2 linked regions of the Coturnix japonica genome follow. The protein of the gene in region 2 interacts with the protein of the main gene of each other region in a pairwise test. Links are inferred from orthologs where the notes say so. Each region holds a gene or a part of one and is shown on either strand. Other genes may lie near its edges. The genes, in order: ZMYND11 and ZHX1.

Region 1 (4,422 bases), about 120 Mb from region 2:
GGTAAAGAAGTGTTCCAGAAGACTCCCTCTGTCCTTGGGTGCTGCCTCTGACACCACATTGCAGGTGCCTCTCCACGACCGCACAAACCACAGCACAGCCAACAAACAGCCATTGATACAGTAACCTTTTTACAGTAACCTTTTACTCCATTTGTATATCTAAACTCACAATCAGAAGGATGAAGTGCTCTCCGCAGTACTACCTACCCCATCCTGCCCCCCCACTGCATATCTGCAGGACAGAGAATGTTTGTTTAGGCATGAAAAAGCTGGCGGTAACCAACAATCCACACGGGGAATTATTTTGAGGGTACTTTCACTTTTGTATCAAACAGCAGTCAGCAAGTAGCTGACTTCCCTAAAGGCGTTCTGTAGCATGTGCTCAACGTTGGTAAGATTTAGAAGAGGAAAAAAAAATGGAAGAAAGAAAAATGTGTGGAAAGATGCCAGGTCCTTCCCACTGAAGGATGAGGCCTTAACAGCCCAAAGGACTACAATCTGAACCACAAGCCGGCACTTCCACTCCCACTCTAACCCCAACACCTGTCCCAGTGCTCACCCCAGGTCAATTCAGCAATTTCCTACCATGAATTGCAACAGAAGTGCAAGAAAAGAAAAGAAAACAAAGCATCACTGAGACAAGAAAGCATTTTCTACCTTCTGTCCTCTTCACTGCAGCAAGATCATATAGAACTTCTTCACAGCAAATAGTAATACTCCTGTGGTACAGACATTGTGGTAGACAATTCAAGGACATTACCTACCGAATTATGCAATCATAAAACCAACCAGTGCCAAATTAAAGAGTTTTTTTCTTAATCCCTTTTCCTCTCCTTAAGTCACCCCTTGCTGCAGCACCTGCACTTGCCACTTGTGCAAACAAACAAACAAAATATAATCCCAAATTGAACTTGCTGCTTTCAGGACAGGACCAAAACAGAGGCACAAAGTTTTCCAACTCCTTAATATTTTACAGGAGGACTTTTTTATGGCACACTGGGAAGATCAGTAAAGCTCCTGATCATCCCTGCTATGGGAAACCCCCCTCACACATGCTTTCATCTATTCCTCATAAAAGAAAGGCTATGAATAGGCCTCTGGACAATCCCCGCGGCTGGGGATGGAGGACAACGCCTCAGAAAGTGAACAGAAAGGAGTTACGCAGAGACAAGGCTTAGGGGAACGGGGGTGTGTGCCTAACAAACAACAAAAACCACTAAAAATGCCGCCAAAAGCAAGTCTAGGCTTTTTCCTTAAGCCCGACCGCCGAGGCCCGCGGGGCCCTATCACGCCGGGCGAACTATTTCTGGAGGGAGCGCGAAGGCTCCGCACGGCCATCACAAGAGACGGGGGAGGGGGGAAGGGGAAAGGGGGAGCGCAGAAACGGGCCGCTCGTCTCTACCCCGGGGCGGATTTGCGGCCTCGGGGCTGCGCTGGAGGCCGGGCGGTGCGGATTGTACGGCCGAGCCCCCGCCTGTCCCTTCGGCTCCACGGCCGTTCTCTCCGCGGGGGCGGTTCAGCCCTCCCGCAGCCGCCCGGAGGCATAAGGGCCGGGGCTCCGAGTTCGCCCCCTTTCTCGTCCCTTTCTCCTCCCCACCCCCGCGGGGAAGGGGAGTCGCGGTCCCGCTCCCGGCCTGCGAGGAGCCGCCGTCTCTCTCGGCGCTGTCGAGCAGCTGCCATTACTCGGGCCGAGACCCGTCCTCCGAATAGGCATCCCCCACCTCAGCGAGGAAATGCGGGGGTTGTGGGGTAGAAGTGAGAGAAAAGGAGAAAGGAGGGGAGCGCGGCGAACCGAGCGGGAGCCACGCGTGGGGGAGCGGAGCCGAGGGGCGGCGGGGCCGAGGCCGGGCTGCGCCACACCCCGCTCGGTCTCGCCTCTCACGCGAGTCCCCGGCTCCTCCGCGCCCTGCAGGCCCCTCGCGGAGCGTTTCGATGTGTCCCTCTCCCCACCCATCGGCTCCCGGCTCTGCACGGCCCGATCCGGGCGGGCTGCAACTCGGGGAAACCGCCGGCTTTTGGCGGCCGAAATACGAGCGGGGAAAAGGTGTAGGGACAAAAATAATCGCCGTTAATAATCACACGCGCTCTGCCGCCGTCCCCTTCTCCTCCTCGATTTCCAAGCGGGTTGCGATAATCCTTCCCACTCCGAAAAATATTATATATATACATACATACATATATATAATCCCGCCTTCCATCCCCCCACCCCCCGCGGCCCCACACATTTTATTATTAAGTATAATTGCTCCCCCCTCCCCATATGCTCCCCCACGGGGCAGGATTGCCCCCTCCCCTCGTGCCCAGCCCTTCCCCTGTCCCCTCTCCCCCATCTCCTTGGAACAGTGTGTACATGATTTTGTAGTTTTTTTAAGGCGCCATGTTTATAATCCTCCATCATATTAAAAAAAAAAATCCACCCAGCATGAGACGCAGTGCCACGAGCACCCCAAAGCCAGGGAGGCAGACACAGAAATATCCACGGGGCTGTAAATTCAACACCCCCCCTCCCGCACACACACACACACACACACACACACACCCCTCCTTCCCAGACTTAAAAGTCTCTCTCACCTTGTGCTGCTGCCGCTGCTTCTGCTGCTGCAGGGGGGGCGAAGTTAAGCCAGGGGAAACTTTTCAATCCCTTCCCCAGGCCGCTGCTGCCTCCTCCTTCCACATATTTTTCCCCTCAGAGTTTTATTGTGTCTGAATTTTCTCTCTCGCTCTCCTCTTCTGTCTGTCCACAGTTCAGGTTTCTGGGGTAAACAGGGTTTAGGATGGTGCTAGGGATATTTGGGAGAAGGAGAACTCTAGTGGTGTCTACTGGAGTTGCTGTTTGTTTCTTTTATTATTTTTTTTTTATACACGTGAAACAGATCTTTAACTATTTATTATAAATGTATTCTATCACGCTGTTAGTTCTGGATCCTCTCTTAATGCAGGGGAAATATGTACCAGTTACCCGATTCTGCTACATGCCAGTTCCTCTTATTGTGAAGTCCAGCTTGGAGAAATAATGGAAAACATTTTCAAAAGTGAATATTCATCTCGAGCAACAGAAACTAAACCACACAGAGTCATTGTTCTCTCCCAGAACTGGCTGGCTGTATGTTCAAAGCTGTGGATCTTTCACTGCAGGATTAGGAGTTCTATAGTACTATGAAATATACAATTACATAGGCATAAATATATATATATGGTTGTAGCATGAGAACACAGACATTTTATCCTGTTTTTAAATAAACTATTTGTTAAATATTTTTATACATGACAAAAAAAAAAAAAAGAAAAGAAAAGAAAAAAGAAAAAAAAACCCACAAACTAATAAAGTTTCTGAAGCATTTAAATAATCAAGTAATTGAAAATAACATATTTTGTAATTAATGAATCTTGATCTGCAATGTGGCATATTTTATAGATTTTATATATTTTTAACTGTAAGTTTCATTCTGTGAAAATTTAGGCATGCAAATAATTGCACTTACATGAGAAGTCATTAGCATCATTACAGTAGTTTTTGGCTGCTAAGCATTAAAAAGATGCATCCATTCTGCCCATGCAGTCAAAGGTTTAACACAATTGACATGCTGAGCAGTTAAAGTTTCTCCAGTGTGTTTAGTAAATGAGATTTTTAGTGGTGTCTCAAACCACACTTCTTTGAGACTGATACATAGAGCTCTTCTTTTCAGAACTAAAGTGCAAATAAGAGTTTGTTGCGCAGCAGTGATAAAGCTTTACTCCTATTGTGTATTTAAACATGAAGGAACATTTTACTTTATCTAAAATAAATAGATAGGAATAAAAGTGCTGGTAATCAGCTTTCAAAGCTACCTGAGGGGTTGGGCAGCTACCGAACAGTGATAATGTAGTTTATTAACTTCATCATATTGTTTTTAATAACAAATAACAAATGAAATTTACAGGCTCTTTTGTGTTGTTGTTGTTTAAGCAAGAAGGGTACAATTACAGAAAGGCTACCTTGCGTTAAACATTTAGTTGTGATGCTTGGCTCTGAATTTGTTCAGACATGTAATTTAAAGAAAAAAGACACTGGATTGAAATATATGCCAAATTTCCATGGGATATTGGTGGCTTGGTTCCCTTAGGTTCCTTTGAAACCTCTGTACAAGTTGCATCTAAGCTGTATTTCTATAAGTAAAGACGTTTGGGTCCTTATCGTTTCTACTGTTTCAACTATTCATTCAAGCTAACAGGTTTGTGCAAGTGGGTGTGTTTAAGGCATACCATTTTTTTTGCACCCAGAAGCAAACAGGAAAGCAGTGTAGCTAGCAGCAAACATAGCTGCCTTTAATTCTTCAGCTAGAACATCCAGATACCCAGTACCACTGGGTTGGCATGGGGGATTCTTTGGCATAAATTCAAAACAAAGCTCCACTTCCATACCGGTTCTTCAGTGAGATTTAT
Region 2 (4,429 bases):
AGCAAGGAAGCAAATATCTGTTGCCTGCGCAGACAGCATCTTGCCCACGTTCCTTCAGGTGCAACGAAGATGCTAAGCAGGTGCTTGCTGAAGCTGAAGGCCATGAAAAATTGTTTGGCTCTTCACCATAACATCAAACCTAACTCACAGGTTTTTGGCTCCCAGATTCCAAACTGCACATCAATCTGATTTTGAAAGTTTACGCTTAACATGTCGTGGGGGTTCCCAAGTATCACTATCATCCGTTTCCTCTTCATCTTCCTGATCTTCCAGCATTTCATCTTCCTCCTCGTTTTCCTCAAACAGCTCTATTCCGAGTTCTAATCTTCTCTGCCTTTCTGCAAACCACTCTCTGACCTGCTCATACCCCATGTGAGATTTAGCTACGAGTTCATCAAGGTCTTGCTCATTAAGGAATTTGTGCTTCATATAGTAGTCCTTCAAGATTGCTGTTCCAGTTTTGAATTTTATGACAGACACACCTCGGTCCCAGCAATTTAACCTCTTGCTTCCCCGAGGCCTCCCTCGAGGCCTCCCTCTTCCCCGCCCCTTTGGTCTTCCTCTCCCTCTCTTCCTTGAAAAGCCTTGGCCATTCAGACTGTTTGCATTGGCACTCTGGTAGTAATAATACCACTTCAATCCCCCATTTTTCCAGGCATAGCGAGTATCTCCAAACCAACTCACAATTTCTGATCTCGGGAGCCCCGTTTCTTCTGCCAGCTTGTTGTACTCCTGTGGAGATGGCCACTGAGTACGGACAAAAGAACTTTTAAGCATGTGCAACTGCTCTGGTGATTTTTTGCCTACTTTGCTTGAAGCGGTGCTCCCTGATTTTGACCCTGCTGCTCCATCTCCCACAGATGTTTCTCCCGCAGCTTCCTCTTTTGAGCTGCTGGCATTGCTCTCATTCATCTCAGTCCCCTCCTCCTTTAAGACAGTAGATTTCCTTCTTTCTGTAAACCAGGCATCAATCTCTCTCCTGGTAAGTTTGGTTTGGGCTCTTAACCTATTCATCTCTTCATCAGTAAGGACAGGATTATTAAGAAAACTTGCTTGGAGGACTTGCAACTGCTCGGCTGTCTTCTCTTTGAATTTCTGTGGGGTGAAGTCAGGAAATGCACTCCAGGACGACTTGTTCTGTGGAACAACTCCTGTTGGAGACTCATTCATTTCGTCACTGGAGTCAATAATGATGGTGGCACATGAGTCACTGTTGAGATGGATCCCATGGTTATTCTTTGAGTTTCTCTGATTGTAGCGTGTATCGCTGAACCACTTCTTGATCTCTCCCTTAGTCAGGCCTGTTATTTTCATAAGTCTACTAATTTCTGAATCCTGAGGAAACTGATTTTTAAGGTAGCTGACCTTTAATTCTGCCAGTTGCTCCTTTGTTTTTTTTGCTCGCATGCCAAAGTTATCGGGATTCATGTGTGCGGTTTCATTTTTGATAGGCTGAGGGGCTGGAACGGCAGCAACTTGTTTGGTTTCTGCAATAGGCTGAGCAGTGTGAATCTGACTCTTCTGTAACTGGGTTTGGTTTGGGACTCCTGCTACAGTCAAAGCTATTGGGGCTGTTACTGGTAACGTATTTGCACCTGCAACTTGAGTGAGAACAAGTCCTGGCTGACCAACTATTTGGCATGTCTGTAAAATTGAAGGTAAACCATTGCTGGCAGCGGAAATATGCGCTGGAATAACGGTAATTGTCTGTGGCACAGTATGCACTGTGCCATTAAATTGTTTCCTCCTTGCTTCCTCCACTTCCTCTGGTGTCCAGCTCACACCATGTTTCAGACGCTGGGCAGAAAACCAGATTTTAATCTGTTCCTCGGTGTACTTAGCTTGAGTGGAAAGAACAGTGATCTCTGACATGGTTGGATATGGGAATTTGTTATAGGTGTTGAGCAAAAGAGGATTGTTGTCCAAAGCAGTATTATAGGTTGGAATGCTGTTTACAGGTATCAGGACTTTGGGGATCAGGTTTGAGTTCTGTGGAGCTGTAACAGCCGTTATAACCTGTGCCACCCCAGGCTGAATCACTGGGGTCACAACCGTACTAGCTACATCGGCCGCACTGCAAGCAACCGAATGGCTCGCTTTGGACTCAGAAACTGCCAGTGGTGGGTTTTCTACTACTTCTTCAGAGTTTGGCTCATTTTCCTTTCCCTTCTCTTCACCAGGAATGCCATCGACTACATTGTGGAAAACAGCAATGCGTTTAGTCTCAGTTTTGTTTTTCATCATTTTCATAATAGGAGTTTTGCTAATGGAGATCCCAGCGGAGGGGGGCTCAGAAGGGTCAGCCTGTTCAGCATTTTCTTCTCTAACAAAACTCCCATCAAAAGTGAGATCATTTACTGTTTGTTCAAAGATTGTCTGATTATTACGTTTCACCATGGTCAACTTAAAATTCTCCTCTCCAGGGTGATACTTCAAATTATGTTCTGAGAGAGCATCGTATCTTTTGGTGAGAAAATTGCATTCTACACAGACATAGGATGAATTTAATACTACATTGGGATGTTCTGAGTCCACATGGAAAGTAAACATATTGAGATCTGGAGTCTGAAAAGAACAGTATTTACACTCATAACCACCTTCTACTTTATTTGTATTTTTCTGATTGTCTGAATCCACGTTCTCATGGACATCCTCTTCGCTTGCTATGCTCTCTGCTGTAGGATTATTATCTGCTGGCTTGACTACAGGTGGTCCTTCCTCCAAGTCTGATACCATTTCGAGATCCGGATCTTGCTCGTTGGCCAAGACCATGCACGGTGTTGTTGATTTTCGTTTACTTGCCATGCCTGTTAGGTGAAAGTGATACTGACTGGTCAGATACAGACTTAGCTTCAAGCTCTTCTTGATTAATAATAATGGCTTTTGGTACTTCAAGTCAGTTCTTGTAACGTCTCAACATTTATCCCATTAGCAGCTTTTCTTTTGTAGTGCAATCAGATTAAAAAGAGACAGTTGAGGATGAAATGTTGAGACACTGTTTTAAAGTCCACATCCACCACCTGTAGCAAAGAAGAGACAGTATAATTAGTTCAATTTAAAGAGTATCTTCTATTCTGACACACAGTATGATTTAATTCAACCCTTTGGTGTTCAATCTGCCACTGTTCACCCCTGAAACCAGCAGACCCATTCCAAGAAGAGACTGATCCTCAAGGCTAGAGTAAGAAAGGCAAATTCCAACTTACTTATTATCAGCTCAAATTTATGCAATGAATGCAACAAAAGGCATAAGACAGAGAATGGCACAGAAAATATAATCTTCTGTTTCCCTACAAATTTTGGCAGTCTTACCCTTGGACTGCTTTATCTAGGCTACAACACTCTTTCAGCTGCAATAGAAGCTCAAGTCCTTCCCATCACAAACTCAGCATGGCATCCCCGTGATGGTCTTGTCTGCTATGCCCAAGGGTGTGAAGGCTCCTAGAAAATGAACGCTTAGCATATTTTTCTACTGCATTATGTACATACATGTATGCATGCCCTGGGTCATTTCTCCCAAGTTTGAAAAGAGACGAAACAACGCCTTGTTAAGGCACTCCACAAGACAGGGATGGCAGACCTCTCTTCCTAGCTCCCCAGATGTCATTCTCCAATTGAAGGCCAATCCCAGACCAATAAATTGTTAGCATGTGGTAATTAACTACATTGTTTTCATAGCTCCGTGCATTAATGGGGACAAGACTGACCATGCAAACTTCACTAGAGAAAAGGCATTAAAGAGTGACACAGTAGGCAGAAGCCAAAGAAAATTATATATTTTCTATTCAGAATTCCTACTTCATTTATAAGAAAAAAACTACTGAAGTACAAATTAAATTTGAGGCCTACATAAATTCAGAGAATAAATATGTTCTTAAATTGCCCAGAGTGGAGTGAGCTGTTATCCCATGGGGACCACAACTAGTCTATTGGAAATGATGCACAAGCTACTGAAAAGGGTTATAAACTCTGTAACAGTTTCCTTCTTAAAACAAAATGAGACACTGATTGCTCAAGCCAGAAATCCCATAGATTCATGAATTTTTATATAGCAGAACATCACCTACTTCCCAGAGCAATGGCATGCTCAAGTGCAAAAGGAAGACTCAAGCAGCTGTTTCAGAAGGTTTATAAAGGTAACAGCATGTAACAGGTTAAAAACAGAAAGACAGCTTTGCTCATGACAGAATCTTAAAAGAAAGCAGTGTCAAAAGAAGAGTAAAGAAGTGAGAAAGGGAAAAAAATACCATTTCTGCTCCAAACACAATCTTTAATTTTGATAACGTGGACAGCAGATGCTGTTCTTAACCTCACACATTTTTTCTTCAGGCCAAAGACATTAGCGTTCATCCACAGCTATCACACAGCACTGCTCTGTAAGCTGATTTTTGAGACTGCACATCACCACAGTCATCTGCAAAATCCTCAC

The links.
Region 1: the proteins of ZHX1 (region 2) and ZMYND11 interact in a two-hybrid assay, tested with the Homo sapiens proteins (2 studies listed by BioGRID and IntAct). The link is inferred for Coturnix japonica from reciprocal best matches to the Homo sapiens genes ZHX1 and ZMYND11.

The regions. Positions count from the first base shown.
Region 1 is NC_029517.1:8,806,488-8,810,909, reverse strand, and holds the start of ZMYND11 (zinc finger MYND domain-containing protein 11), read right to left. Parts: upstream 2,803-4,422; 5' UTR 2,572-2,802; intron 1-2,571. UniProt on the Homo sapiens protein: Chromatin reader that specifically recognizes and binds histone H3.3 trimethylated at 'Lys-36' (H3.3K36me3) and regulates RNA polymerase II elongation. Does not bind other histone H3 subtypes (H3.1 or H3.2).
Region 2 is NC_029517.1:124,384,958-124,389,386, forward strand, and holds the start of ZHX1 (zinc fingers and homeoboxes protein 1), read right to left. Parts: upstream 3,021-4,429; 5' UTR 2,806-3,020; coding exon 181-2,805; 3' UTR 1-180. UniProt on the Homo sapiens protein: Acts as a transcriptional repressor. Increases DNMT3B-mediated repressive transcriptional activity when DNMT3B is tethered to DNA. May link molecule between DNMT3B and other co-repressor proteins.